Stegostoma tigrinum: one gene and its partner. The protein of the gene in region 1 purifies or fractionates together with the protein of each later gene. This does not show direct contact. Links are inferred from orthologs where the notes say so. Each region holds a gene or a part of one and is shown on either strand. Other genes may lie near its edges.

Region 1 (15,907 bases):
ATTTTCTGTAATCTGCTCCACCCTAAGCCCCTCCCAATCAATGTACCCTCCTCGAGTCCAAGACCCTCCCTGTCTTTATAACCTTCAATTGTAATCTCCTCTAGCCCTGCCTTCCTCTATTTTGATAATAATCTTTCCACAATTGGTGACCACTCTTTCAGCCTTCTGGACCTAAGCTCCAAAATTCATTCTCTCAACCCTTCAGCTGTTTTCACTCTGTTTGGGTGCTTTATAAAATTGTAATTCTTGGCCAAGTGTTTGTACAACTATCTTTGGATCTTGTGATTCATCTGAGGATGTTTGCAAAACTGGACTAGGTTAGAGTTGCTGTGAAAATACAAGTTGTTACTGTTGCCATCAGTTTCATTGTTCTGGCCTTAGCAATAATTTTCTGAAATTTCATGTTGCTTCGAGTGATCATTAAAACTGATGCCCTGCGATTCAGAAAAATCATACAGTGCAAGAGGCCATTCAGCCCATTAAGCACACATTTCCACTCTCCCTCCTCCCCACACAGCTTTGTAACATGTTTCCTAGGAACCTCCAACTTGGAGGTACAAGCAGACGATTCAACTTTTGAGCCTGCTCCACCATTCAATAACTTTCACGATTTTCTAAGAATTCCAGGCTTCCCTCTAAGGTAAAATAAAGATTCTTTATCCTGTTTGTTAAAATTAAAGTTCTTATTCTTAACTGTACTGCCCAATTCCAGTCTGACCACAAGAGGGAACATCTTCCCAATCAAGTCCCTTCAGAATTTTTTCCATTCAATAATATTTTGCTTCATTTACTCTATTGGATACATGCCCAGTTTGTCAGCTTTTTTTTGCTGGATAACCACATTTAATCACAGCAATGATTAAGTATATGTGCAATTGCTTCCATCTTCAAATTTATAACTATAGTTATAAGTGACGCCAAGAGACAGATGGGCCACTGACAGTCATTGCAACTCATGTGAAATTTCTGTTTCTACCCCTCAAGATTTTCTGTGGCAGCAGAATTGCCATCAGCTTTGTTTTCCAGTATCTTTGGCCTGAGTAAAGTGTGATACAGATCCCAAGGAGAATCTGGGAATAATTCCAATGCAAGAGAACATCAGCCTGGAAAGTGCGTAAGACGTAGGAACAGGAGGCCATTCAGCCTTTTAGTCTGATATTCAACGGGGTCATGACTGAACTGATCATTCTCAAGTCTATTTTCATGTCTTATTTCGATTTGATTTATTATTGTCACACTTACCTAGGTTCAGGGAAATGTTTTGTTTTGCGTGCAGTACAGGCACATCTTATCATACAAAATGGATCAGAGTAATAGAACAGAGCACAGGATACAATGTCCCAGCAGCAGAGAAGGTGCACAACAGAGAGCTCGACATTACATTTAAAATTTGAGAGTCCCTTCAGAAATCTAATAACAGCAGGGAAGAAGCTGTTCTTGAATCTGTTGGTACATTTGCTTAAGCTTTTGTATCTTCTGCGTGATGGAAAATATTATGACCAGGGTGGAGGAGTCTTTGATTATGTTGGCTGCCTTTCTAAGGTAGTGAGAAGTATAAAAGGAGTCAATGGATGGGAGGTTGCCTTGTGTGACAGGCTGGGCTGTATTAACAACTTTCTGTAGTTTAAGGATCTGGATAAAGCAGTTGCCATACCTAGCCAGGATGCATTCAGATGGAATGCTTTCTACAGTGCGTTTACAAAAATTGATAAGAGTCTTCATGGACATGCCTAATTTGCTTATCTCCATAACCCTTGATATCTGATTAAAAAATCTAGCTTTCTCAGCCTTGAATATACTTACTGACTCAGCCTCTACAGTCCTTTGATGCAGAATTTAACAGGTGCACACCAAAAAAGAAACTCATCGGTTTAAACGTGTGACCTCCTACTCGGAGATGAAGCTGTTTGGTCCTAGACTTTTGCACAAGGATAGATTAGTTTCCGTATCTACTCCGTCAAGTCCCCCAACAATCTTGTATAATAAGGTTGTGCACCATTCTTCTAAATTCCAGTAAATGCCCACCCAATTTACTCAATCTTTCAGAAAAACAGTCACTCCACATCTAGGACCAGCCAAGTGAACCTTTTCTGGACTGTTTCCAGTGCCAATTTCCCTTTCTTAGACAATGGGCCCAAAACTGTTCTTGGAATTCTCACCATGGTCTGATGAGGGCCTTTACAATTTTTAGCAAAGCTTTCCTACTGTTATATTCAATTGCCTTTGAAATAATTCCCAACATTACATGTGCTTTCCCCAAATCCATGCCTGAAGTAGTAAATCAACATGTGCACCCTTGGTTTATCCTTTTGCGCTTGAAATCAATCTAACAGTGAGTGTGATTGACCTGTTGTATTGTCTACCATAGCTGAGAAAAAGTCTCAAGCGACAGCAATCAGCATCTACTGAAGTCATCAGATTAGAGTTGGTCTGCTCTCAGCTGGAAAAAAAATGCAGAGAAATGAAATCCCACTTGACAACTTGCTGTGTTGTGGGCAATACCTACAAAAAGGAAGGCAAACAAGTGGCAAGTTTTTGTCTACTCCTGGATACGAAGAGTATTGAGACTGGCAACGTGCCTCTCAATCAGATGATAGCCTGGAGATTTTATCACTGGGCTATTCGGACCCAGATTATGATCTGGAAATCCGGATTCAAATCCTGCCATTACAGATGGTGGAATTTGAATTCAATTTTTAAAAAAAGTCTGGGATTAAGAGTCTAAAGATGACTGCAAAACCATTATCAATTGTTGGAAAAGCACATCTAATTCACTACTGCCCTTTAGGGAATGAGACTGCATCCTTACCTGGCCAGGCCGAAATATGACTCCAGACCCACAACAACGTGGCTGACTCTTAACTGCCTTCTGGGCAACGAATCCTCACAGAGCCAGCAATGCCCTCATTCTGCAAATGAATAAAAAACAGCTGAAGAAATGACATATGGTGCGGGCTACGTTGTACCCTTCTCTCTGAATGTTCTCAAATGCGCTGAATCCAATTATTTTCGAGAGACCCATCTATCAGCATAACCAAGTTTAGTTTCAAACAAGTCAAACTTTCTCTACCACCTTAAGTTGCAGCCTGTGTCATCCAGCAAGACCTACTGAAGTGGAAGATGGAAGGAGGGAAATAAAGGCAGACATTCAGAGACTTCTGTATGGTCAGCCTGTCTCCTCAGTCTCCACATTGAACAGCAATAAACATAGGAATAAAGGGTCACAGAAAACAAATCTTCAGGTCCAACTCATCTCTGCCAACTTGATATCCTAAATTAATCTAGTTGCATTTGGCCCATAGCCCTCTAAACCCTTCCTATTTGTGTACCCATCCACATGCCTTTTAAATGTTCTAATTGTACCAGGCTGTACCAACTTTTCTGGCAGCTCATTCCCTAAATGCACCACCCTCTGCGTGAAGAGGTTGCCCTTTAAATCTTTCCGCTCTCACCTTTAAACCTCTGCCCTCTAGTTTGGACTCCCTCCACTGCAGGGAAAAGACTTTGTCTATTTACCCCATCCGTTCCCCTGATGATTTTACAAACCCCTATCAGGTCACCCTGAGCCTCTGACACTCCAGAGAAAACAGCTCCAGTCTATTCAGCCTCTCCCTACAGCTCAAACCCTCCAACGCTGGCGACATTCTTGTACATCTTTTCTGAAACCTTTCAAGTTTCACAACAGGGAGGCCAGAATTGCACACACTATTCCAATAGTTCCGAACCAATGTCCCATACAGCTGGCTCCATGTCCACCCAACTCCTGTGCTCAATGCACTAATCAATAAAGGCAAGCATAGCAAATGCCGTAACTATCCTGTTTCCCTGCAACTCCACTTTCAAGGAACTATGAACATGGATTCCAAGGTGTCTTTGTTCAGCAACACTCCCCAGAACTTTATCATTAAGTCCTGCCCTGAGTAGTCTTTCCAAAACGCAGCAGCTCACATTCAACTCCATCTGCCACTTCGCGGCCTAGTGGCCCATCTGATAAAGATCTCATTGTACTGAGGTAACCTTCTTCGCTGTCCTCCACATCTCCGACAAGGCTGAGGAGCAGGTGGTAGACATTCGAATCCTCTACACGATCATGGCTGATCTCAAATAAACTTTACTGACTACACACTAGAACCGCTGATCCCTTCTTTATCAGAACCACCCTAACTTAACCTTGTCAAGATACTGAATGATGCAGCCTCTGCTGCTTTCTGGGACAGAAAAGTTCACTTCACATATGTATCTAAACCCAGGGACCTTTTACTCTTAGATAACAAAGTGTGGGGCTGGATGAACACAGCAGGCCAAGCAACATCTTAGGAGCACAAAAGCTGACGTTTCAGGGCTAGGCCCTTCATCAGATTTTAGTCTGCCCCACATGAGGGAACATTCTCGCGTTATCCACCCTACCAAGTTCCCTCAGGATCAGATCTCCACAAGGTAACCTCTTGTTCTTTTAAACTTCAATGCTAACACAGCAACCTGTTCAACCTCTCATAAGCCCTTCGTTCTGGGAATGAGCTAAGTTAACTTTCTCTGAACTGTGTGGAAGAAAACTATATCCTATACAGCTGCAGTTAAACTTTGACTTGGATATCATATTCCCCTTGCAATGAACAATATTTCATCCTGCTTCCTAATCATTTGCTGTGTCTACATACTTAATTTTAAAAGCCTTGTACCACAACACTCAGATGTATTCTGCATTACCATCAGTTAAATAGCATACTGCTATTCTATTCTTCCTGCCAAAATAAAAACGTTGCTAACTTTCTACATTATATCCCTTCTGAAAACTTGTACCCATTCACTTCACCTTGCTATAATACTTTGCAGATCTACCTCATCTTGGCAACTTTACTTTTCTACCTCCCTTGGTATTATCAACTTTTGATCGCATATGTTCGGTACAGTTATTGAAAAAATGAATATGTATTATAAACAATTGAGAAACCAGTGGAGACCCATGACTGTCAACCCAAAAAGAATCTTGTCTTATTCTCTGCTTCCTGTAAGCCAATCAAATCTTCAGACATGTTTATTTGATACCATCTACACCACAAGCTGTTTGATTTGGCTGCTTATAAAATTACAATTGGACATCTAAAGACACCATAACTACTTGTTTCCATCTATCCATTATGAGAGTCACTTTAAAACTAAAAGAACTGCAAATGCTGTAAAATCAGGACCAAAAACAAAGTTGCTGGAAAGGTTCAGCAGGTCTGGCACCATCTGTGACGGAGAAATCAGAGTTAATGTTTTGGGTCCGGAGACCCTTCCTCAGAACTTGATTAAACAGGCTTTCCTATTCATATAGTGTCAGGTCTGCTGGATAACACCATTTTCCAAGTAACTTTATATAACCTCCTTAATAATGGGATCTACAATATTTCTGACAACTGATTTTTAAGGTAACTGATTTTTAAGATTTGAACATATCCTTGTTTCCAAATCCAGTCTTCTGGTACCTTCCCAAAATGGAAGAAATTGTTGGAGATTACAAAGAAAAGATCCTCTATCTGTGCAAGATAATAAAATGTGAGGCTGGATGAACACAGCAGGCAAAGCAGCATCTCAGGAGCACAAAAGCTGACATTTCGGGCCTAGACCCTTCATCAGAGAGGGGGATGGGGTGAGGGTTCTGGAATAAATAGGGAGCGAGGGGGAGGCGGACCGAAGATGGAGAGAAAAGAAGATAGGTGGAGAGAGTATAGGTGGGGAGGTAGGGAGGGGATAGGTCAGTCCAGGGAAGACAGACAGGTCAAGGAGGTGGGATGAGGTTAGTAGGTAGATGGGGGTGTGGCTTGGGGTGGGAGGAAGGGATGGGTGAGAGGAAGAACAAGTTAGGGAGACAGAGACAGGTTGGACTGGTTTTGGGATGCACTGGGTGGAGGGGAAGAGCTGGGCTGGTTTAGGGATGCGGTGGGGGAAGGGGAGATTTTGAAACTGGTGAAGTCCACATTGATACCATTAAGCTGCAGGGTTCCCAGGCGGAATATGAGTTGCTGTTCCTGCAACCTACGGGTGGCATCATTGTGGCACTGCAGGAGGCCCATGATGGACATGTCATCTAAAGAATGGGAGGGGGAGTGGAAATGGTTTGCGACAGGGAGGTGCAGTTGTTTGTTGCGAACTGAGCGGAGGTGTTCTGCAAAGCGGTCCCCAAGCCTCCGCTTGGTTTCCCCAATGTAGAGGAAGCCACACCGGGTACAGTGGATGCAGTATACCACATTGGCAGATGTGCAGGTGAACCTCTGCTTAATGTGGAATGTCATCTTGGGGCCTGGGATAGGGGTGAGGGAGGAGGTGTGGGGGCAAGTGTAGCATTTCCTGCGGTTGCAGGGGAAGGTGCTGGGTGTGGTGGGGTTGGAGGGCAGTGTGGAGCGAACAAGGGAGTCACGGAGAGAGTGGTCTCTCCGGAAAGCAGACAGGGGTGGGGATGGAAAAATGTCTTGGGTGGTGGGGGTCGGATTGTAGTTGGCGGAAGTGTCGGATGATGTGTTGTATCTGGAGGTTGGTGGGGTGGTGTGTGAGAACGAGGGGGATCCTCTTAGGGCGGTTGTGGCGGGGGCGGGGTGTGAGGGATGTGTTGCGGGAAATGCGGGAGACGCGGTCAAGGGCGTTCTCGATCACTGTGGGGAGAAAGTTGCGGTCCTTGAAGAACTTGGACATCTGGGATGTGCGGGAGTGGAATGTCTTATCGTGGGAGCAGATGTGGCGGAGGCGGAGGAATTGGGAATAGGGGATGGAATTTTTGCAGGAGGGTGGGCGAGAGGAGGTGTATTCTAGGTAGCTGTGGGAGTCGGTGGGCTTGAAATGGACATCAGTTACAAGCTGGTTGCCTGAGATGGAGACAGAGAGGTCCAGGAAGGTGAGGGATGTGCTGGAGATGGCCCAGGTGAACTGAAGGTTGGGGTGGAAGGTGTTGGTGAAGTGGATGAACTGTTCGAGCTCCTCTGGGGAGCAAGAGGCGGCGCCGATACAGTCATCACTGTACCGGAGGAAGAGGTGGGGTTTGGGGCCTGTGTAGGTGCGGAAGAGGGACTGTTCCACGTAACCTACAAAGAGGCAGGCATAGCTGGGGCCCATGCGGGTGCCCATGGCCACCCCCTTAGTCTGTAGGAAGTGGGAGGAGTCAAAAGAGAAGTTGTTGAGGGTGACCGCCCAGTTCGTCCCCTCCCCCCACTGCACCACACAACCAGCCCAGCTCTTCCCCTCCACCCAGTGCATCCCAAAACCAGTCCAACCTGTCTCTGCCTCCCTAACAGGTTCTTCCTCTCACCCATCCCTTCCTACCACCCCGAGCTGCACCCCCATCTACCTACTAACGTCATCCCACCTCCTTGACCTGTCCGTCTTCCCTGGACTGACCTATCCCCTCCCTACCCTACCTCCCCACCTATACTCTCTCCACCTATCTTCTTTTCTCTCCATCTTCGGTCCGCCTCCCCCTCTCTCCCTATTTATTCCAGAACCCTCACCCCATCCCCCTCTCTGAAGAAGGGTCTAGGCCCGAAACTTCAGCTTTTGTGCTCCTGAGATGCTGCTTTGCCTGCTGTGTTCATCCAGCCTCACATTTTATTATCTTGGATTCTCCAGCATCTGCAGTTCCCATTATCTCTATCTGTGCAGCCAGTTCTCTTTAAGATCTTTGGATATAGGCCATTGGATCCTGGCACTTTTGCTTTGGTGATAGTGATTACATTTTTTCGAAATGCATTCCTCCCTATCACCTCGTGACTGTTTGCTTATCTTTGGGAAGACTTTCCCCAGTCTCCTGACAAGTAGACAGCTACAAACCATGCGTTCAAAGTCTCAGACGTCCCCGGAAGACTAACACTAGCTTTCGTTACTTTTTTTACCAGTTGTTGAAGTATTTGCCAAAGTTCTTCCAATCTGTTTTTATGCTGCTGGCAACCTTTCCCTGACACCATCCACCTTTCCTTTAACGTAAAAGCCAGACCAAAGACTAATCTTGGGAGGGGCAGGAAAGTCTAACGTTTCAGGTTGGGGCCCTTTCCTACTCCTCAGAAACTGTCTGACCTGGTACGAGCCTCCAACTCCATACTTTATCAACTCATACTTCCAGCATCTGCAGTCCTTGCCATCTCCTAGCCTTTGGGGTTTGTAAAAGGAAAATTAAAAGCAGTTTTTCATTTCAACTGAACACTGATCTTCACCCAGCTAACAATCCTTTTGTAAGAGTTTTCCCTTGCTCACTGGGCCAAAACCAGAATGTAGACCCTCACAGAACTGGTACCTCCCGGCACCACGAGCAACGCTCTGACCTATTAATTCCGAATCGGTTAGGGAAGGATACCCAGACTGAGGATACACGCCCCTGGGCCCGTCCCACCCTGGGGACAGTAGTTGCGGTGGTAACTCTCCCCTCACCAACAAACCCACGGCCACTCGCCACAAGCACCGCGCCAAAGCCCGCGACAGGAGGACACACCCGGCATCGCCTTGCCGCCCCTCATTGGCCGAGGGGTACACACTAGCTCTCCACTCATTGGAGGAAAAAAAACTCCGTCATCCAAACGACCGTTGCCCGCGTGCTCCCACCCCCAACCACCGCGACCCCTTAAGGCCTCGGCCGAGATGTTCTTCCCATTCGCTGAGGCGTACACACCGTCTCCCGGCTCATTGGCGGAAAAGGGAGTAGGCCCGAAACATCAGCCTCGCGACTCCTCTGCTGATGCTGCTTGGCCTGCTGTGTTCATCCAGCTCCACACCTTGTTATCTCATTAGAGGAAACAGTCCGTCATCCAATCCGCACTATGTTCGTCCCCACCCCGCTTCCCGATTGGCTCTCTGGTGGGGGCGGGAACTGCGCTCCTACGGCTCTGCCCATATGTCACTCAGACTGAGGCACGTGCTGTCTTTCTCGCGCGACGCCCGACGCCGGCGCTAGACTTTCTGCAAAGGTCTTTGCCTCTCACCCTCGCTGCCTACCATGAGCGGCTGGATAGGATTGACGTCCACCGGTATAAGACTGGGTTCAGAGATAATGGGAACTGCAGATGCTGGAGAATTCCAAGATAATAAAATGTGAGGCTGGATGAACACAGCAGGCCAAGCAGCATCTCAGGAGCACAAAAGCTGACGCTTCGGGCCTAGACCCTTCATCAGAGAGCCCCTCTGATGAAGGGTCTAGGCCCGAAACGTCAGCTTTTGTGCTCCTGAGATGCTGCTTGGCCTGCTGTGTTCGTCCAGCCTCACATTTTATTATCTAAGACTGGGTTCAGTTGACCGAACGCATTTACCCCTTTATTATGGAGCCGAGGAGGTGTCGTTGGTTAGTTGACAAAAATACTTTAGAGGTTGGCTTTCAGTTAACAGATACTGTGTTGCCTTTGGAAAGGGGGTGGACGGAGAAGTTCTGATTAATTGCTGGGTTGTCGCTGTCTGAAACAGAGCGTTGGGAAAATGCGGACCCCGAGCCGGCGCGCATGCGCGTTTGGAGTCGCGCCGGCGGCTGTGGGGCGGGCATGTGGCTGCAGTACTCAGAGCATGCGCGGAGGTCCTGGAGAAAGGGTGTGTTGTGCGCCTGCGTGGTTGCCGCTCAGGAAAAATGGCGCTGAACCTCAGTCGCAATGGGCCCGTTCTGCAGGCTGCCTATCAGGATGTGGTAAACGACAAGGCCGCTACTGACTGGTGAGTTGTGGTCAGGGCGAAAGAAGATTCAGTAGGTTCCAGATTGAACCTGGATTTTGAGGAGGGGAAGGGAAAGCGGAAGGTTGCAGGTGGTCGGGAGTAGAGGCTCCTTTTCGAGTTTGTTGAAGGTGTAACATTGACTGATGAAGTTTGGTTGCTGGGTGTGGTGTTCGTTTGTGTGGAGAAGGACTCGAGCCTTTCGACGCCGGGGGTTGTTCGGCCCGTTGTGTCTATGGTGCCTCTCCCGATCAGACTTTGACTCTGTACTGTTGCCATGCCTCCCTGTGCACACATTCTGAGAATCCCTACAGTGTGGAAACAGCCCTTTAGCCCAACAAGTTCCACACTAACCCTCTCGGCATCCCACCTAGATCCATCCCCCTATAAACCCACCTAATCTACACATCCCTGAACATTATGGGCAATTTAGTATGGCCAGTCCACCTAACCTGCTCATCTTTGGACTGTGGGAGGAAACCAGAGCACCTGGAAGAAACCCACACAGACATAAGGAGAATATGCAAACTTCACACTGACAGTTGCCTGGGGGGTAAAATTGAACCCAGGTCCCTCATGAGGCAGCAGTGCTAACCACTGAGCCACCGTGCTGCCAGACAACAGTCAAAAATCTTATCTGAATGTCTCCAGTCACCTTAACTCCACTGCCCACTCGGGTTCTAGCTGCCAGCCACTTGCTGCATGAAAGGAAGTTCTCCTCTTGATGTTTTTTTTGTCAATGAGTTTAATCTGTGACCTCTGGCTTCCATTAGTTGCATTGTTTTTTTTGTTTTTATCCAGACTTGGGATTGGATTTTGAATATGATTTTGAATACCTTTGTCAAATCATCTTCCAGTCTTCTCTGAAAATTACGTCTGCAGTCACTCACTTGCAATCACAATCTTATTTCACTGAAATTCTTATCCCCAGAATCATTTATGGAGTATACACTTGTATTTCCAGAAGAGCTGTGCCAAAGCTACATGGTAGATGGATGATAATTTAATGGGATCCAATAATAAATTCTGTTGGGCTTTAGCTTATGAGAATGACCAGGAGGTGTATATTTGTATTTACATTTGAGTATAAATTAAGTGGTTATAATTGCTGATAATAGCCTAAATTGGCCATGTAGTTGATGCAGCGTAAGTTGTAAATGATAGCAAGATGCTGTGCATTGACTTGGTGAGTGAAACTAAATGTTAAAGAATAAATGAGATATGTGAATGGGTAAAGCAAACAAATTTAAGGGGTGGAGTAGAATTGTTTGAATTAAGTTTGGCTTGTTCACATGAATGTTAATAGATTACAACTTGCCACTTGCGGTGCTATTGTAGGTGCAAAGGTAGTGAGGTATAGAATCTTAGCACAAAGCAGAAAAATAAAGAAAACAAAGTTTTATAAAAAGTGAAACATTACTGTCCTCCTTTGTAAGAAGTAGAAAAGCAAAGGAACACAGTTAATAGTTAAACACAATAGTCCATAAGGACCTGGCCACTTCGAGTTTGCACTCAATGACTTGACCTCTCCCCTGTCACTACTCTGGGCTGGCTGCTGTTCCTGCTCCCACTTCCGCCTTGGAGTGCCAGCTACCCTGGGCTGCCAGTACTTGCTGCCTAACAGCCTGCGGCTGCTCTTGCTGCCAAATACCTTGCAGGAGCAGCAGCCCACGTGCATGCTATTCAGCCACCATCTTGAAAGGGATTGGATATAGATCTTGAGGAAGAAAGGGACTTTAGAACCAATGCAATTAGATCCCTGTAAGTGACAGAACAAGTAAGGTACTATAAGAAGGCATATACAATTCTTTCCGTTTTTAACTGTGGAACAGGAAGTCAGTGTAAAGAGTTATGCCAGGACACTGATAAAGAATTGGATGTTTATCAGAAAACCATGAGTATTGATTAATGCACATATTTGGGATGGAAGACAGTGTCATAAAGCATGCCTTAGGGATTTATGTTGGGACATTCCCTGAGATATGTTACAAGTGTAGGCCGTCTTGTGCAAGGGCATAATTACCAAGGTTGCAGAGGATGCAAAACTATGAAACATATTTAACCAAGGAGAATGGTGTAGAATTTCAAAATGACGGAAGAATTCATGGAATGTGCTGATAGGCAGTTGATGAAACTTGGTGTAGAGATGTGTAAAGTTTGGTAGGAAGAACATGGAAAAATAATGAAAAAAAACTTGAAAAGGGGTGCAGGAACAGCAGAAACTGGATGAATAGGTGGAAAAATCATTACAGATGACAGGACAGTTTGAGGAAAAAAATACTCAAGCAGTCAGTATCCAAGGCTTTATTCACAGGACATAGAGTACAACAGCAAGTAGGTTGTGTTGAACTTGGATAAGTTGCTAGTTTGGCCTCAGCTTGCAGTACTGCATCTAGTTCAGTGTGCTGCATTTAAGAATGGATGTAAAGACGGAGATAGTGCAGAAGATGTTTTTGGAAATGTTTCGAGGATTGAGAAATCTCAGATATGAGGATAGATTAAAGAAATCAGATCTGTTTTATTAGAAGCAAAGAAAGCTGAAAGATGTTTGACTTTGGTCAAGGACTGTGAAAGAAGAACTTGAGCTGTTAAACAAACAGGAAGAACAGGAAATCAGGAACTAGTGATTGCACAACACCAGCCACATGGCAAAATTTGCATGCTTTATGCTGATTTGTTCATGTCGCCACTTGGATTTTAGTTTAACTGCCAAAATGCAATCATGAGCACGCTCCATCTGTGATAACAAAGTGTGGAGCTGGATGAACACAGCAGGCCAAGCAGCATCCTAGGAGCACAAAAGCTGACGTTTCGGGCCTAGACCCTTCATCAGAAAAGGGGGATAGGGAGAGGGGGAGGCGGACTGAAGATGGATAGAGGAGAAGATAAGTGGAGAGGAGAGTATGGGTGGGGAGGTAGGGAGGGGATAGGTCAGTCCGGACAGGTCAAGGAGGCAGTATGAGGTTAGTAGGTAGGAAAGGGAGGTGGGAGGAGGGATAGGTGAGAAGAACAACATGTTAGGGAGGCAGGGATGAGCTAGGGTGGCCTTGGGATGCAGTGGGGGGGAGGGGAGATTTTTGAAGCTGGTGAAATCCGCATTGATACCATCAGGCTGCAGGGTTCCCAAGCGGAATATGAGTTGCTGTTCCTGCAACTTGGGGTGGCATCATTATGGTACTGCAGGAGGCCCAGGATGGACATGTCATCTGAGGAATGGGAGGGGGAGTTAAAATGGTTCGCGACTGGGAGGTGGAGATGTTTATTGCGAACTGAGCGGAGGTGTTCTGCAAAGCGGTCCCCAAGCCTCCGCTTGGTTTCCCCAATGTAGGGGAAGCCACACCGGGTACAGTGGATGCAGTGTATCACATTGGCGGATGTGCAGGTGAACATCTGCTTGATGTAGAAAGTCATCTTGGGGCCTGGGATGGTGGTGAGGGAGGAGGTGTGAGGGCAAGTGTAGCACTTGCTGCGATTGCCGGGGCAAGTGCCGGGTGTGGTGGGGTTGGAGGGGAGTGTGGAGCGGACAAGAGAGTCACGGAGAGACTCCATCTGTGACTTTGGTTTGACTTTTCTTGGTGCCACCTCCTAACCTCGACTCCCATTGCTTGAGCAAAGCCTTGCTTTGTACATCTGCAATTTACTTTATGTTCAGATTGTTATTCGCTGATAAGCAATTTAGTATGTGGGCCTGTTCCTAATCACTGATTACCAACAGGTCTACATTGGTGCTTGTGGTACACGGACAACTTGTATTATTCGTTCTGGTTAAACTGAAAAAGCTTATCTAACCCTACAGTTCCTTTTCCACTCTGAGTACTTCCAGCTTCTTAAATGATTTACATCATTCATCTCAAACACTCCCTATGAGAGTGAATTTTGCATGCTCCCAAAGCTCTGTATAAGAGCTTTCTTCTGAATTCCTTGTGAGGATTTTTTAGTGGCCATTTTATAGCTCTTCCTCTCAAGAAGAAATAATTGTTCTGAATCCAGTCCATATGTATCACAGTCTCAATCTGGCTGCACCTCAGCCTTTTTAAAAGAACAAAATCCAAGGTATTAGTCAAGTATTTAAAGTCTGTTGCTTTTTGCGTTCGTTATATTAAATAAGACTTTCAAAAATAAAGCTGAGATGCAGTGTGAAATTATTTTGTCATGCTGAACAAAACTCGGTAAGTCAAAAGGACTGGTGTGAACCTATAAATATTCACAAACGTGAAGTGCTTATATGATGGTTAACCACAATTCACTGCCCCTCTCAGTTGCTTTGACCCCAGCAACATGTCTGTGCAAATGTTGAAATAGAGAATCAATTGTCGTCTGAATTTGACACAGCTGGAGGCACAAAATCTTTTCAGCTATGGTTTGCTGTCAGTGCTGTTTTCTGGTAATTTTATTAAGACAGTGAAGATTTTGTTATTGGACACATGACCATAGCCCAGGTTTTTGGAGTGAGCTTTCTGCCCTGTTGTTCAACTGACTAACTTTCTAAAGTACTGTACAGCAGATGCCACTTGCTTTAGAGAATTAAAACATTAATGGAGACAAACAGTGCAGTTCATCAAGCCTGTCTTCTCAACTTGGATAATCCTGTCAGTGGTTTCCTATCAGATTCCAGATTTCTCCATTTCATGTGAGTTGAAGTCATTGATGGCCTTCGAAAGACCTTCAGTTTTGTTTCTGGGCTCAAGTCATTACAAAATAATTTAGTTTCCGTCTTAAAAGTGGGTTTCATTTCATCATTCTTATCATAATGCAGAGCGCTCCTCACCAAAGATTCTTAATTCCAGACACTGAGTTCAGCTGTGATGGGAGTCAAACCCGGCTCAGAATATGAGCTGAGTTATGAATTAATAGCCAAGTTATTAAATCTTTATTAATAAGATTGCAATAACTATTATTATTAATGGCACCACGCCATCGTCAATCCCTCTTTTGTCAATGTCATTATGCCCCAAATGGTTCAGAGTGCACCAAGTAGTTGACTGCTGGCCATGATTGTAATGTAGGACTCAACAGCCTATTTGCGCTTAGTAAGATCCCACACACAGGCAGTGTTTTGATCACTAATCAATTCATTGAAGTTCTGATGTTTTAAAGTTGAATGATTGAAAACACTATGGGTAAACTATTCCTCTGGTTGGGCAAGCCCAGGACATGAGAATCGAGTTGAAGCTCGGACTGATGAGGCTTGATGTGACTACTCAGTTGGAGAAATGTGTGAAACACTTCAACAGGATTTGTAGTCTGCAATTGAAATCGCTGGTGCGAGGAATGATAGATTTCTGTTTGGGAGTGGTTTCATGACAGCATTGACATTGATCTAACTAAAAGACTATTGGGCTTATAGCACTGAATGGCCTCCTTGTTGCAGTTTAGGTGTGTAGAAGGGCTGAGCAGAACCTCTCCACTGTAACATTATCAACAAAACTTTGGGCAGCACAGATGTCATGCGCAAAATGGTCTCCATGGTTCTAAGAATCTACGATGAAGCATTCTCACTGTTGTTGAATCTGCACACATTAAGTTGTTCCTAATCAGGGTCTGTTGTCTTGCCTGGCGATTGCTCCACATGTTTCTTTTCCAGTGATGTACACTTTTTCAAACTTCTCTCTGCCAATGTAATAGCCCTTTATCATGCTTTGTATGCTCACATTCCTGACCAAGCTCCTAACACTACTTTGAGTGAAGAAGGGGATGACCAAGTATCAGAGCCTGTTTTTAAGGAGGAAGGCTTCGGTCCTTAAACAGGTTGGTTATAAAATAGCTCCTCTATTGGCCTGACTTGCTCAGTTAATTTAGTTAAAGTCTGGAAGTCTGCAAAATTCTGAGTGGTTTTGAGAAGGAAGTCAATAAGGACTTCCTTCTGGTAGGAGCGGATACAATGTTAAGATCACAGATAAAACCTGCTCTTTGAATGCAGAGCTGCTATGATCTGTGAAAAAGTGCTGGAAACAGACTGGAAAAGGGAATTGAGTAATGATTTGAGAATTAAAGTATTTGCAAAACTAGGGTAAAAGTAGTGTGAAAATTTAGTTTACACACAGTCAACAGGAAAATAGCAAGTTTGGGGAGATGGGAGGTCCTATGAAGCCCATGATTTCTCTTGGTGCCACAAGCATGAAGTCAACTGAATAAAAGCTGAGCAGTCTGCTACATGGAAAAATCTGATACTACTGGGCCTGGAATTGCAGTTTGTTTGAAGTCATGTAAGTTCTCCTCCTTCCAGTGCAAAGTAGTAGCAGAGCTGAGTAAT
Region 2 (15,665 bases), on another chromosome or scaffold:
CGCAGGCCTGACCAGTCCCCCTCCACCGACACCCTCATCTGCCTAGCCGAACTCGTCCTCACCCTCAACAACTTCTCTTTCGATTCCTCCCACTTCCTCCAGACAAAGGGGGTGGCAATGGGTACCCGCATGGGCCCAAGTTCTGCCTGCCTCTTTGTAGGTTATGTGGAACAGTCCCTCTTCCGCACCTACACAGGCCCCAAACCCCACCTCTTCCACTGTTACATTGATGACTGTATCGGCGCAGCCTCTTGCTCCCCAGAGGAGCTCGAACATTTCATCTACTTCACCAACACCTTCCACCCCAACCTTCAGTTCACCTGGGCCATCTCCAGTACATCCCTCACCTTCCTGGACCTCTCAGTCTCCATCTCAGGCAACCAGCTTGTAACTGATGTCCATTTCAAGCCCACCGACTCCCACAGCTACCTAGAATACACCTCCTCCCACCCATCCTCCTGCAAAAATTCCATCCCCTATTCCCAGTTCCTCCGCCTCCGCCCCCAGGATTAGGCATTCCACTCCCACACATCCCAGATGTCCACGTTCATCAAGGACCGCAACATCCTCCCCCACAGTGGTCATGAATGCCCTCTCCCGCATTTCCCGCAACACATCCCTCACACCCTACCCCCGCCACAACTGCCCCAAGTAGATTCCCCTCGTTCTCACATACCACCCCACCAACCTCCGGATACAACGCATCATCTTCTGACACTTCCGCCATCTACAATCTGACCCCACCACCCAAGCCATTTTTCCATCCCACCCTTGTTTGCCTTCCGGAGAGACCACTCTCTCCGTGACTCCCTTGTCCGCTCCACACTACCCTCCAACCCCACCACACCCAGCACCTTCCCCTGCAACTGCAGGAAGTGCTACACTTGCCCCCACACCTCCTCCCTCACCCCCATCCCAGGCCCCAAGATGACTTTCCGTATTAAGCAGATGTTCACCTGCACATCTGCCAATGTGGTATCCTGTATCCATTGTACCTGGTGTGGCTTCCTCTACATTGGGGAAACCAAGCGGAGGCTCAGGGACCACTTTGCAGAACACCTCCGCTCAGTTCGCAATAAACAACGGCACCGCCCAGTCACAAACCATTTTAACACCCCCTCGCATTCCTCAGACGACATGTCCATCATGGGTCTCCTGCAGTGCCACAATGATGACACCCGAAGGTTGCAAGGACTGCAACTCATATTCCGCATGGGAACCCTGCAGCCCAATGGTATCAATGTGGACTTCACAAGCTTCAAAATCTCCCCTCCCCCCACTGCATCCCAAAACCAGCCCAGCTTGTCTCTGCTTCCCTAACCTGTTCTTCCTCTCACCCATCCCTTCCTTCCACCTCATGCCGCACCTCCATTTCCTACCTACCACCTCATCACCCCCTCCTTGACCTGTCCATCTTCCCTGGACTGACCTATCCCCTCCCCACCTATCTTCTTTTCTCTCCATCTTCGGTCCGCCTCCCCCCCCTCTCCCTGTTTATTCCAGAACCCTCTCCCCATCCCCCTCTCTGATGAAGGGTCCTGGCCCGAAACGTCAGCTTTTATGCTCCCGAGATGCTGCTGGGCCTGCTGTGTTCATCCAGCTTCACACTTTGTTATCTTAGATTCTCCAGCATCTGCACTTCCAATTATCACTGAATGGCTCAAAGAGTGTTTTTCTGTGCTGTAAACCTCTAGAAAACTGTTGCACAGGCAATGCCCTGTTTCCGGCATCTAAAAATCCTTCCGTGTCACAACCATATCCCATTGATTTCCCACAACAGGCATGTGTGCCCTCTTGAAACGAAGGCAATGGATTCATGCCAGTTGAGGGCACTTATTCCCACTGAGTTGAGGCGATGCCTCAATCACCAATCGCCACCTCAATCTGCGTCTAGATTCAGTAGCCAGACAAACTTTTCCACCCCCACCAGGCACAAACTTTACCTGTTCCTTCGTCTCTTCCAGTGACATGCGCTCCTCCATCTCTTTCTTCCTCTTCCGTTCCTGCTCCTCTTTCATCTTCTGCTCCATCATTTTGTCCACCTCCTCTTCCTCTGCAATGGCCACAAGGGCAGCAGTTACAGATTTCATTTCTCAATTTAAATTAGATGCCTGTATCCATTGGGGTTTAGAAGAATGAGCGGTAATCATATTGAAACATGCGTGGTCCTGTAGGGAGTGGAAAGATACCAGGAGGCTGTTTCCTCTTATGAGGAAGACTGGCACTGCAGGACATTGTTTCAAACAAAATAGAGATGAGGAGAACAGTTTTCTCTCAGAGGGTCATTACAGTGTGTGGAATTCTCGTCCCTAGAAATCAGTGGAGGTTGGGATTTTAAACTTATTAAAGGCTGAGATAGGTAGATTTTTGATCAATAAGGGAGTTACTGGAAAATTAGAGGAGGAAATCAGGCAAGTGGACTGAAACCCACAAACAGGTTAGCCACAATCTTGTTGAAAGGTGGAGCAGAATTGAAGGGCCAAATGGCCTCTTCCGACTCCTGTCTGAGGTTTGCAGTTTTCTTACACAGTAAAGCCAGTTACATGGAATTAGGTCATAGATCAGCCACCACTTTCCTGTATAATGGAACAGGCTCAAAAGGGACTGAATAGCCTCCTGCTGCACTGAATAAGAGGTTGCAGAAAAGATAACACTTGGGGCTAGCTCCATGACACTCAGAGGGTTTCAAATCTTTTAGTGCACAAAGCCTCAGGCACCATATCCATCCATATTCCTGCCACCCACACCCACTCCCCACCATCTTGTTTTGGTGGATCAAAGACAGCTAACTGGGTCTCAGGCCCTTAGCTCTATCCTGCCAGGTCCCATTCAGTCTCTGGGATACTAGGGCAACTGTGGAAAAGAAAAAGTCATGGTTTTGGGGGTAATGTATTCACATGGATAGAAGATTGGTTGGCTAGCAGAAAACAGAGAGTGTGTATAAACGGATCCATTGGCAGGATGTGATGAATGGGGTCCCACACTTGCTGGGGCCTTAACATTTATAGTTATATATCAATGAGAGAAGTGAAGGCAGAGTTGCTAAATTCAGAAATGACACTATGATAGGTAGGAAAGTATGCTATGGAGGAGGAGTTTGCAGACAGACAAAGATTGAGCCAATTGGCAGAGGTCTTGTACATTCAGTGCAATGTGGTCAAACGTGAGTCGTTTACTTTGGCAGGCGTAGGGACTACGTATTTTATTGGAAATATAAACCAGCAAACCAAATTTTATCTTTATAACTGGAAACAAAAGTTGGACTGTGCGCTGTTCACTCCTGGGCCACACAAGCATTTATGACATTTGAGACAAATTGGATTTGATACTTCTGAGACACATGCTGGCACCAAGATCCTTAGTTAGGAAAAACATAAACTGGCAAGCAACAGCTTTTGGACTGGTTGTAAGCAGAAGTTCATCACAGAACTGAGAGGAGAGAGCGCAGTTGGGCTGCCATGACTCCAAAAACCCTCAGCAAACCAGACTGTGCTCGCCCACCCTCGCTCTGAATAGAAACAAACTAACACTGAAGAGGCTTTGTCAAGAGAGAGCTTAAGCAAGGCCAAAGCCCAAATGACTAGTTACTGACATGAGGTTTGCCAAAGTCAACAACAATACAGCACCAAAAATCAAAGAATAATGAAAAAGTCACGACACTTATTTCAGCATTTGGACTCTTGATCCACAGACATTGTTTGATTTTGCCTATTATCCCCCAACAATATTCCCGAAAAACTGTTTGCATTGTCCTTGCCGTTTATCAATGTGTGTGTTTGGATTTCAAGGGCTTCAGCTTAAATTTGCACATTAGTAATTAATAATCTGTTTTTGTCACACATGAGAGAATAAGCTTAGTATAATAAATACGTTTTTGGTTTCTCATTCATTGCTAAAACCTGGTGTGAGCTACTTTTCTCTTAGACAGTGATCACAATCAGATATTAACCATCCTAGAGATTAAATTGGTAATCCTAAAACTTGTGGAATACAGGCACTTAATTTCCAGTGATCTCTTTCCATCAAGGTTGACACACTGAAAGAATCAAAAGGCAGAGTATTCATAGAATCCCTACAGTGTGGAAGTAGACCATTCAGCCCATCGGGTCCACACCAACCCTCCAAGAGCACCCAGACCCTCGTTCCTATCCCTACAGACCTGCATTTCCCATGGCTAATCCACTCAGCACATCCGTGGACACTGTGGGAAATTTAGCATTGTCAATACACTAAACCTGCACATCTTTGGACTGTGGGAGGAAACCGGAACACCCAGAGGAAACGCGTACTGAAAAGGGTAGAATGCACAAACTCAGTACAGACAGTCACCCAAGGGTGGAAGCAAACCCAGGTCCCTGCTGCTGTGAAGACAGCAGTACTAGTCAACGAGCCACCATGCCGTGCTGCTCAACAGAAAATAACTTTAGAACTCTGGATAGGTAGCTATATCTTGGTATTTTAGTCCAGAAGTCACAAGACTTTAGTATCTAGGTACAACATGTAACCGATAAAGCTAATGGAATGCTATGCTTTATTACCAGGGAAATTCAATATAAAAGTTTGAATGTTATGCTTCTGTTAAACAGGGCATAGGTGAGACCACATCTCAAATACTACATTCAGTTTTGGTCTCCTTATTTAAGGAAGGATTAAATGCATTGGAGACTGTTCAGTGGAGATTTACTCTTGAGAGCTGGACCAAGTTGTTTTACGAGGATTGGTTAGATGGGCCAGTCTTGCTTCCACTGGAGTTTAGCAGAGTGAGGAGTGACTTGATTGAAAGATATAAGATACTAAATGGTTTTGACAAAGAGAACATGGAAAAGATGTCTCCTCTTGTGATTAGGGGCCACTGTTTTAGGACTGTTTTACACTTAAAGAAAAGTAAGTTCATATTTGACAGTCAACATGACTTTGCCAATAGCAGGTCATGTCTGACAAATTTAATTGAGTTCCTTAACAAGGTGATCCAGGCAGCAGATGAAGGCAGTGCTGTGGATGTTGTATATTTGGACATTAGAAAGTATTCGATATGGTGCCACATGCCAGGATGGTTAGCAAATTAGAAATGTTTGGTATTGATGGAATCTTGCAGCATGGATTAGAATTTAGCTAAAAGGTAGGAGCAAGAGGGTAAAGTGGGCATATTGCAGATTGGAGACAAGTTGAAAGTGATGTATCTCAGGCATCAGTGTTGGGACCCTTGCCTTTTCTGATTTAAAAGAACAATTTGGAGATAGGTGTTGAGGGAAAAATCTCTAAATTTGCACATGATACTAACTGAGGTAGAATAGTGAATTAGAGGATGACATTGAGCGGCTTCGCAGAGATATTGGCAAGTTTTCCAAATATGCAATACCTGAATTTCAATGCAGAGTAATGCAAGATAGTGCACTTTGACAGAGGAGACAGGGTGAGACAGTATGGGCTCAAAGGTACAACTTTGAAGGGAATACAGGAGCAGCGGGACCTCGGGGTTCACATGTATAATTCTCTGAAGATGGCCAGACAAGTTGGAGCAGTTGTTACTAAGGCTTATAGGAGTCTTGACTTTATAAAAAGAAGTATAGCATAGAAAAGGAAGGAACTGATGCTACACCTCTACAAATCATTGATCAGACCAAATTAAGAGGACTGTGCTTAGTCCTGGCACTTTATTTAAGGAAGGACATTAAAGGTCTGGAAAGAGTGCAAAGGAGATTTGCTAGAATGATACCAGGAATTAGGAATTTTAGATACAAGATAAGATTAGAGAAATCTGGCTTATGCTACATGGAGCAGAGAAGATTAAGATATGACCTTATTGAAGTGTTAAAATTTATGAATAATTTTGACAGAATAAAGAAGCATATTCTGTTTCCACTGGTTGGTATGTCAGTAACAACAATTTCAAAATTGTCAGCAAGGTGGCTTGGAGTGAGATGAGGAGAAAATCTTTATTCAGTGTTGTTAGGATTTAGAATGAGCTGCCTGGAAGAGTGGTGGAGGTGGAGATGGAGAGCTCTGGAGAATGAAACTAGCTGGGTAGATCTCTCAGGGATGGATAGACCAACTAGTGGGGGACATAGGTGGAGCTAGAGAGTTATGAAGCTTGGCAAAGCAGGTGGAGCAACACGCAGAATGGGAGTGGATAGGAGGAACAGACAGAACAATGGCAAGGTCAACAGGCAGAGGGAGGGCACCGGCAAGGCAGAGGGGGAGGGCACCAGAAAAGAGTGAGAGTTATCCAGTTTATGCCTTAACTGACTTATGGGTAGCATAGGATTGAAGATTCCCTGGATTGATTAATAGGCTGTGGGCAAGGTCCTGCGAGGAATGATTGAGTGAGTTGCACCCACATTCTTTGCAGATGATCTCAACCTGATCCCTTGGATACTGAAATTATTCTACGTGTATAATTTGAACAGACAGATCCAATATATTTGAGTTTAGAAGAATGAGCAGAGATCTAATTAAAATGGATAAAATTCTTCGAGAAGGAAGAATGCTCCCCAGCCAGGGGAGAAACACAAAAACATGGAGAAAGAGTCTTTGAATAATTAGTCGTCATCTCCCAGATTGGCATAAAGGTCGATATGAGCCAAATGGCTTCCCCTGTGTTCCTTTGTCCAACGGTCTCGAGCACTTTTGTCCCAGAGGCCTGCAAAATTCTTGTGCACTCCCCTTCTGGAAAGCCCAGTTGGATCTGCTTAAGCTGCCCTTTCAGGCATCTACCAGATCATAACAATAACAACACAGCATTCTGATATAACAACAGCACATATCCCAGGGAGCCAGTGACAGCATGACACATGCAGATTTTTCTGTTGAGCATTTTGCCAGATTGTCCCGCCCTGATCTACCTGCCAGACATTGTGTGAGCACACTCACACTTCCTTCCCAGCACTTCTACCTTGTCGTTTCCGTGCTCTCTCCTTCATGATGTGCTGGTGAAGAGCTCGCGCCATCGCGCTCGACATCTTGGGTCGTTCCAGTAGGGCGGGCATCGTCTCTGTTTCAGAAGGATCCAGACACTAGAACCTAAAACAGGTGAGAAAAAGCCATAAATCAGCTTTGTGTGAGGTACAGAATCGCAAGAGTAAATCTGGAAAACCTACAGTCACCACACTGTTTCCCAAGACCACCCGGTGTAGCACAGCTAACTAGAACTCCTAAAAGTTCCCCTCTGAAACACTTGACTTGGACCTACAGTGCTGTTTCCTCACAGCAACTGGGTCACACTTCCCACTTTCCCTTAACAGCACTGTCCCTATACTTCAGGGACTGCAGCAGTTTAAGGTGGCGTCTCACCACCACGGCAAATAGGGATGACCAGTAAATGCTGGCTCGGCTAGTGAAGCCCACACTTTACACAGAACGTACCACAAACAAATAACTCCGGATCAACCAGTCAATACCATTCTGTTTCGCTTGAAACCCAGAATGAGCCACAGCCAGAGCCATACTGGATTAGACCCCAGGAGGACAAGAGGCCAGGCTTCCCACAGATTGCATTCTCTTTCAAAACACGCTGGCTACACATAGGGTGCTGTGCTCTCCCCAAATCTCCCTGTTCTTCCCGGATTCTCAAGAACTGTGCCCCATTCCCTCCACTCTCATCGGTATGTCCTCCCTTCTCCATTTCCCTCTCACTGTTCTACCCAACCACTTCCACAAACACCCCTCCCACCTACCCTTCTCCTCTCTCCACGGGTCTTTTCCTTGATCTCCCCCACATCCCGCAGCTCCAGGTCCCCATCACCCTCACCCTGTTCTTCCCCTCACCATTCCCTGTTTCCAGGCCCCGGGCCGCTTTCCTCCTTTTCTCTCTCTCTTCTCTCTCTTTTCACTCCACCAACGCCATCACACTCCGCCCGCCCACCGTCAGATCCGCCCCGCAGCCGTAAAGCGAGACGGACGCTGAGAAGCGGGCGACGGCCTTGGCGCGCGACGGGATCGTAAAGCGGAGCCGCCGGTTTCCAGCGCGGAGGGGCGGTCAAATCAAACGGCGCTGCCGTCGTAAAGCGGATTTCGATACAGCTGCCCCGCAGCCGTCAAGCGGGTTAGTCTCCCCGGCCCTGTTACTCCTTTAGGACCCGGTTGAGAAGGCTGTCGTGGAGCAGGAGCGGGCTGAGGAGGGGGCGGTAAGCCCCTCTCTCCGCTCTCGGAATGGCGGCCGAGTTCCACCTGAGGACCGGCAAGTTGGTGGCGTTGCTGAACGGCAACCGCACGGCCAAGCGTAACAAGCCGACCGAGGAGTTCAACCACGGGCTGGCGATGAGCCGAGAGCCGCTGGGGGACGGGCAGCTCTTCCAGGTCCGGATCGACAGGAAGGTGAGTCCAGGGGGAGATGTAGATGTTTGTAACTCCACCCCCACCCTCACCCCCACCCCCACCCTCACCCTCACCCCCACCCTCACCCCCACCCCCACCCCCACCCCCACCCCCACCCTCACCCTCACCCCCACCCCCACCCTCACCCCCACCCCCACCCTCACCCCCACCCCCACCCCCACCCCCACCCCCACCCTCACCCTCACCCTCACCCCCACCCTCACCCTCACCCCCACCCTCATACCCAGGGGTAAGCTCAGTAAGAAACACCGGTGATTGAGGCCTACACCAGAAGGTGCACGGGAAGGGGAATCTCAGCAGGTAAAAAGGGGGAACACACCCCCCCCCCCAGCTTTAACATCGCTATAGCAGGTTTTGTGATTTTATTTTCTTAAATCATATTTAATCATAATTGCGACACCCCCCCCAAAAAAAAACATCGTGGATATCGCTAGAGGATTAAATGTAATGAGTGGAACTTGGTCCAGCAGAAAAAAGCTGGAGCTTGTCCCAATTTGCAGCAGAGAGGACCCTAAGCACCCCCTCTTCCCCCCCCCCCCCCCGGGCTGGTATTTGTCTGTCGGCTCGACGTGGCTTGTCAAGTAGCCCCCTGCCGTCCCCAGTTTTAAAAATTCAAAATCCCTCTCTGGTCATTTTGTAAAGGTTCCTCCCCAGCATGCCCTTGGACACCATCTCGAGGGTTCCCCCCCAGCCCCCAAGTGAAGGCAGCCCAATGTGATGGACAGTGCCAACTCCTGGCAAGGGCCAGGTGCAGAGGCGCCAGGGAATGGAACATTGGTAGAAGGTCCCGGAAGGGCGCAAAAGACTGGGCAGTGCTAGTGTAGAGAAGGAAACCAAGGTGATGCTTTGGTTCACTGGCCTGGTGCCACAGCTTTGTCAGTGGGACTGCACCATCTGGTTTCGAGGGCCCTTGTGTGCTCCATGTGATGGTTTGCACCAGATGTCAGCCATCAAATACTCTCAGAACAGGTACAGCACAGGGTTAGTTACAGGGTACTTGACTGTGTCTCCACTAAGCCCTCCCAAGACAAGGGTGACGTATGATTAGATACAAAGTGTTGCCTCTATGTTCTTCCAATCCAACACTCCCAGGGGAGGAACAGCACATGATTTCTCTAGTCTTTCAGACTGAAAATAAATAGAAAGTAAAGCTTGCTCAACATTGACCCTAACAAACATGTCTAGGATGGGGGCATCACAGGGTTACATAATGAGTGAGGCTGTCTGTACACTGTCCACATCAAACATTCCCAGCACAGGGCTAGATACAGAATATACTTCTACACTTTTAAACTGAAAGTAAAGCCCCCTCAACAACGTCTGCTTAAAACACCACAAGAAGAGATAAAGCAGGCGTTTTGGTGCAGAGTAAAGATCACAGTGGTTCAGTGGTTAGCACTGCTGTCTTCACAGTGCCAGGGACCTGGGTTCACTTTCACCTTCAGGCAACCTTGTGTATAGAATTTGCACATTCTCCCCATGTCTGCTTGAGTTTCCTCCCACAAAAATGAGCAGATTACGTGGATTGGCCATGCTAAATTGGACATAATGTCCAGAGACGTGCAGGCTAGGTGGATTAGACATGGGAAATGCAGGGTTAAGGCAGGAGGGTGGGTCTAGATGGGATGGTCTTCAGAGGGCCGCTGTTGGTGTGACAGGCCAAATGGCCTGCTTCCATGCTGTAGGGATTCTATGGTAAACTGAAATCAGAGCATCCTCTACGGTTTTAAAACTGAAACTAACACTTCCTCTACACTTAAAACTGAAAGGCACCTCCATCTGTGTCAAACGCTCCCGGGGCAGGAACAACAGAGGGTTAAGTACAGAGTAAAGCCATCTCCACTCTTTGAACTAAAAGTAAACTTTAAGTAATGGTCCACTGATGCCATCCCCATCAAACACTCTGGAACTGTGGCAGCACAGGGTTAAATGCAGAATAAACTCCTTCATTTTCAGTTATGAGTGGTGTACCACAAGGATCTGTTCTGGGTCCCCTTCTGTTTTTGACTTTTGTAAATGAACTGGGTGTAGGAGTGGAAGAGTGAATTAGTAAGTTTGCAGACGACATGAAGGTGGGTCAAATTGTAGATAGAACAGCCCTCCGCACTATGTTACAAAGGCACATTGATAGGATGCAGAGCTGAGCTGAGAAGTGGCAGATGGAGTTTAGCCCTGAAAAGTGTGAAATGGTTTATTTTGGAAGGACAAACTTGAAAATGGAACACAGGGTTAACGGAAAGATTCTTGGCAGCGTGGAGGAGCAGAGGGATCGTGGGGTTCATGTCCACGGTTCCATGAAAGCTGCCACCCAAGTGGATAGAGTTGTTAAGAAGGCATATGGTGTGTTAGCTTTCATTAATAGGGATTGAGTTCAAGAGCAGTGAAGTTATGCTCCAGTTATACAAAAACCTGGTTTGGCCACGTCTAGAATATTGTGTCCATTTCTGGTCACCTCATTACAGGAAAGATGTGGAAGCGTTGGAAAAGGTGCAGAGGAGATTTGCCAGGATGTTGCCTGGAATGGAGGGAAGGTCTTATGAGGAAAGGTTGAGAGAGCTAGGGCCTTTCTGTTTTTAGAACAACGAAGGATGAGAGGTGACTTGATAGAGGTGTACAAAATGATGAGAGGTATAGATAGTGTGGACAGCCTGAAACATTTTCCTCGGGTGGAGGTAGCTATTATGAGGGGAGCATAGTTATAAAGTGAATGGCGGTAGATATAGGGGAGACATCCGAGGTAGGTTCTTTACTCAGACAGTGGTTGGGCCATAGAATGCATTGCCGGAGAGGGTAGTGGAGTCAGCCTCAGCCTCATTAGGAGCATTTAAGCGGCAATTAGATAGACACATGGATGATAGTATAAGGTAGCAGTGGGAGTTAGATAGACCTTAGGTTTAGGGTAAAAGTTCAGCACAGCATGGGGAGCAGAAGGGCCTGTACAATGCTGTACTGTTCTATGTTCTATTTCTTTTATGAAAACTGGAAGTCCAAAATAATAATAATGAAACGCTTACTGCTGTGCATCGTATTGCAATTGAACATAAACTAACAGTCAAATGGAAACTTACAGAACCAAACAGAAATTACCCATGTCAAAATAATGTTGTAGACCCATAGAGCCATAAAGCATGGAAACAGATCCTTTCGTTCGACTTATGGGACCCCAATCTGGAGGGCTTACTCATTTGCCAGCATTTGGCCCACCTCCCTCTCAGCTCTTCCCATTCATATACCCATCAGATGCCTTTTAAATGTTGTAATTGTTCCAGTCTCCTCCACTTCCTCTGGCCGCACATTCCATACACACAGTACACTCTGTGTGAAAAAGTTGCCCCTTGGGTACCTTGTAAATCTTTCCTGTCTTGCCTTAAACCCTATCCCCTCTAATTTTGAACTCCCCTCCCGTTCGAAAAAGTTTGACTATTCACCGAATTCATGCCCCTCATGATTTGATAAACCCCTGTAAGATTGCACCTCAGCTGCCCTCACTCCAGTGAAAAATGCCCCAGCTCCCTCAACCTGTCCCTATGACTCAAGCCTCCCAGTCCCAGCAATGTCCTTGTAAATCTTTTCTGAACCTTTTCAAGTCTAACAACATCCTTCCAGTAGAAGTGCATCTAGAATTGTGTGCAAAATTCTAGAAGTGGCCTTACCAATGTCTGGTACAGCCACAACATGACATCCGAACCCCTATAGTCAATGCACTGACCAATGAAGGCAAGCATGCTAAATGCTGCCTTCACCACCCTGTCAGCCTGTGATTCAATGCTGCCCAGGCTTTGTGGTGCCCAATGGTCTCCAAAGAACTTTGCTGTATCTGTGAGCACTGCTCTGTCTTCAGCAACTCCCCAGCTCAAACATAATTGTGAAAGCGTGGCACCCCATCAGGAATGGGGGAAATCTTGGCCAGACCCAGCAGAAGGCCCACCAACTTGTCAGCCTGCACTAGGTGTCCGTAGATCAGGACCATGGGACTGAAGTGCAAGCAAAATTGAAGAAGCAACCCCTTCAAAAACCAAAAAGGAGTTGCAAACGGAAACATTCTACACCGATGTCAAGCACAAAAATTACGCGTCACCTGGCATCCAGTGGACTCACATCCTATGGTGTACCGGCCTGCCACATGCAGCACTCTCCACCCCGGATCCCCAGAGGAAAGGGGAAGGACCTCTTTGTAAATGGCCCTCCGCTGGGGATCTCTGCAGCTGGAGGGCAAAATAGTCTCGAAGCAACAGATGAAGGTGCAGAAGTGGAGAGTGCAACAGCAGCCAGTACAGGAAATACCTCTGTGCAGTGATTTCTGAAAGACAGCTCAGATTGTGAGGCACCACGTCATGGGGAAGGGTGGCTTGTGCAGGACTGATGTCGGGTTCCGAACGTACAGGAGTCAATTCAGCCGGGAGCCCGCTGCGCACACGCCTGAGCTGTCTGGGTCTTGCATAGGGCATCGGGGCTGAGCACGTTGTGCCTCAGGCTACGTATGGGTCAGGCTGTGAACCCTCTCGGCCAGCTGCAGCAGTGTCACTCAGCCCACTCCTCCTCCATCTAACACAGCCTTGACCCTGGTCAGCCCAGCATCCCAAGCCCTCCCCTACTTCAGCCAGCAGAGTTCACGCTGATGGAGGAACTCATTCCTGAGCAGTGGCTCCCTCACAATAGCTGCCACTCTTATAGGAGTGGCAATCCAACATGAGCTGACCATGTTCCAGATACAAGTCCAAGTAAAAGACAGGCAATTCTTGGGAGTAGATTCAAGAGCGAGACTATTCTGTGAACAGGAACTGCATGTCAGTATAGAGGCTGTGCACCTGACAGAAAAATGACATCATCAGGGCGCAACAACTTGGAGGGCCAATGTAAAGGTGTCACTGCAGAGTCTGAAGGCAAAAAGTCATTACCCAGGTGTGGAGGCACACCAGTGCCAGACCCCCATCTGAACTGCAGCAGGGACCTAGTGTTGCTTTTTGTCCCAGAAAAATGCTATGACCCTTTTGTGAATGGTTTGACAAAGCCAGGGGTTGGGACCAAAGTGAGCAGCCAGTACCATAATGTGGCAGCTCCCATCTGGTTTATGACCAGACCTCGTGCCCTGTAAAATGACTCTTCAAGTAGCCCTGTCTCGTGTCTTTGGTGAGTAATCACCTTGGCTATTTGTGCTAACTCACTGGCCAGGATTCCTCGGCAGGGCAAACGTGGCATTCCGGGTAGAGGAGGTGAGTGATACTCCACAAGAACCGCTGAAGCTGCTCCGGCAGGAAGTCCAACTGCCACAGATTCACCAGAAGTCCTGAACACTTACTCCACTTGATCCTCATGGAGGACGCCACAGAGTAGACCATCTGGCACTTGTGCCTCTTCCGTAAGTCAGCCGCTTCCACAAACGTGAGGAGCATGTCGTTGGCTTAAACTGAAAGGACCACCCCAGCTCCTTCACAGAACCTGAGACGACAGCCACCTCTGCAAGAGGCACTCGAATGACTCCACACAAGGAGAATGCAATTGTCCAGACAGGGAGGGTGACCCTGGTGCGCTCCCCTCCGGAAGTACACGGGTCCCATGAGGGACCTGGTTACCTTCCCTAGGTACTCCAGAGCAGTGTACAGAAGTTGAATCTGGGCGACAAAGTGTGTCCCAAACCCAAAAGCTCAAAGAGGCCCAAGTAGACACTTGTGATCCACTCTGTCAAATGCCTATCCCTGATCAAGGGAGAGAAAGGGCACTCAAGACCAGTCCTCTGGGAATGAAGGGTCACATCCCGGTTGGGTTGATGCTCTTGTGAATGCTCCAGCCTGGGACTGGTAAGTATGATATGGGTGGATTACGTGATCCAGCATGGTACTGAAGTGAGACAAAAGTGCCATGGCCAAGATTTTGTAGTCCAAGCTATGTAGGGAGACCAGACACCAGCTCTTCAATAAATGGAGATGCCCCTTTTTTAGACAATAGAGTTATGACAGCTCTCTGCCAACAAGGGGGCATTTCATCAGTCATGATATATTCCTTGATGACCCAGATGTAGTCGTCCCCAAGGACATCCTCAGAGGGGCATTGATCCTCTCCCCACCCTCCAGGCTGACCTGTGACAGGTCCTACCACAGAACTTTGTGAGCTTCCTCACTGGATAGATCTGGAAAGAAAAGCATGGGAATAGAAGTCCTTTACTTGGACTCTGATACTGTCCAGATCCAAGATGTGAGATCTGTTGTCAGCAAGCAGCACAAGGTACTTTATTTCCAACGAATAGAAGAGAAGGAGCCACAGTCTAGTTCTTGAGAAACTGGATCTGCAACCTCACATACGCATCCCAGGACTCAACAAGATGCAGCTCTCGGAGCATGTCCTTCTTCTCTTCGTACGGTCTCAATAGGAACTGGTCGACATTGGGCTCTCCAGATTGAGCGTCTCCTTCTCCAACTCTTTGCATCTGGATTTCCGCCCCTTTGACCACCACGCATACTGCTGCTTGAAGACATGCATGTGAGTTCTCCCCATGCCTGCCTAGGTTGCCCTTGTGTGCTCCGGTTCCTCCCACGTTCCACATTCAGGTTAGGTGAATTGGCCATAGCAAAAGGGTTACGGGATGAGGAGGGAGGGTGGGATGTTATTCGGAGGATCAGTGCCGACTCGATGTGCCAAAAAACTTCTCTCTGCATTGTAGGAATTCTTATGATTCTATGAAACTTGCCCACGTTAAAGCCTAAAGGAGGCGCAAAGCCCTCTCAGCTTCCTTCTCCAGTTGGCCCAGAAGTGTCAGAACAAGTTCTGGAACTGCCTGTCCTCCAACGGCAGGTTGTGCCAGTATGCCAGCCTCCCCCTTATGCAGAAGGGAACACGTGCCTCCCACACCAGTTTGTGATCGATGAATGGCACCTGCCACGTGGAGGCCATCAGACGCAGGAGATGTATGACCTGACCGTGTAGAGCTGGTCAATCTTGGATGGTCTAACTCCAGACTTGAGATTCTGCCAAATGTCTACCGAGTCAAATGACTTGACCAAGTCCCTCAACTTCCCCACTAATACCGAATTATTCTGATCACCTTTACAGACCCTCCCCTTGAGAGGACAATTAAAATCTTGCTCCAAGGAGAATGATTTTTGCCCTCATCGATGGAGCTCAGTTAGACAGTTGGAAGAAGCATGTCTGCTCTGGTCTCAGCTGAGGCATGTATGTGTTCACAAAGTGAAGCAGTGTACCCCCCCAAACTAAACGGTGAGTTGGAGTAAACAGACTGGCACATGCTCCATGACCCTCCGGTTCTGAGGTTGAAATCATGTTGCCATCAAGACTGCCACTCTGCCAGAGCATAATAGTATGGGTTTCCACCGCAT

The links.
Region 2: the proteins of dbnlb (region 1) and neurl4 purify together in Homo sapiens (co-immunoprecipitation; 4 studies listed by BioGRID and IntAct, counting the BioPlex papers as one, with this or other methods). This does not show direct contact. The link is inferred for Stegostoma tigrinum from reciprocal best matches to the Homo sapiens genes DBNL and NEURL4.

The regions. Positions count from the first base shown.
Region 1 is NC_081393.1:1,033,075-1,048,981, forward strand, and holds the start of dbnlb (drebrin-like b), read left to right. Parts: upstream 1-9,513; 5' UTR 9,514-9,574; coding exon 9,575-9,657; intron 9,658-15,907. UniProt on the Homo sapiens protein: Adapter protein that binds F-actin and DNM1, and thereby plays a role in receptor-mediated endocytosis.
Region 2 is NC_081398.1:13,791,741-13,807,405, forward strand, and holds the start of neurl4 (neuralized-like protein 4), read left to right. Parts: upstream 1-8,006; 5' UTR 8,007-8,148; coding exon 8,149-8,313; intron 8,314-15,665. Other genes in the region: gps2 (G protein pathway suppressor 2), read right to left, coding at 1,944-2,053, 6,893-6,986. UniProt on the Homo sapiens protein: Promotes CCP110 ubiquitination and proteasome-dependent degradation. By counteracting accumulation of CP110, maintains normal centriolar homeostasis and preventing formation of ectopic microtubular organizing centers.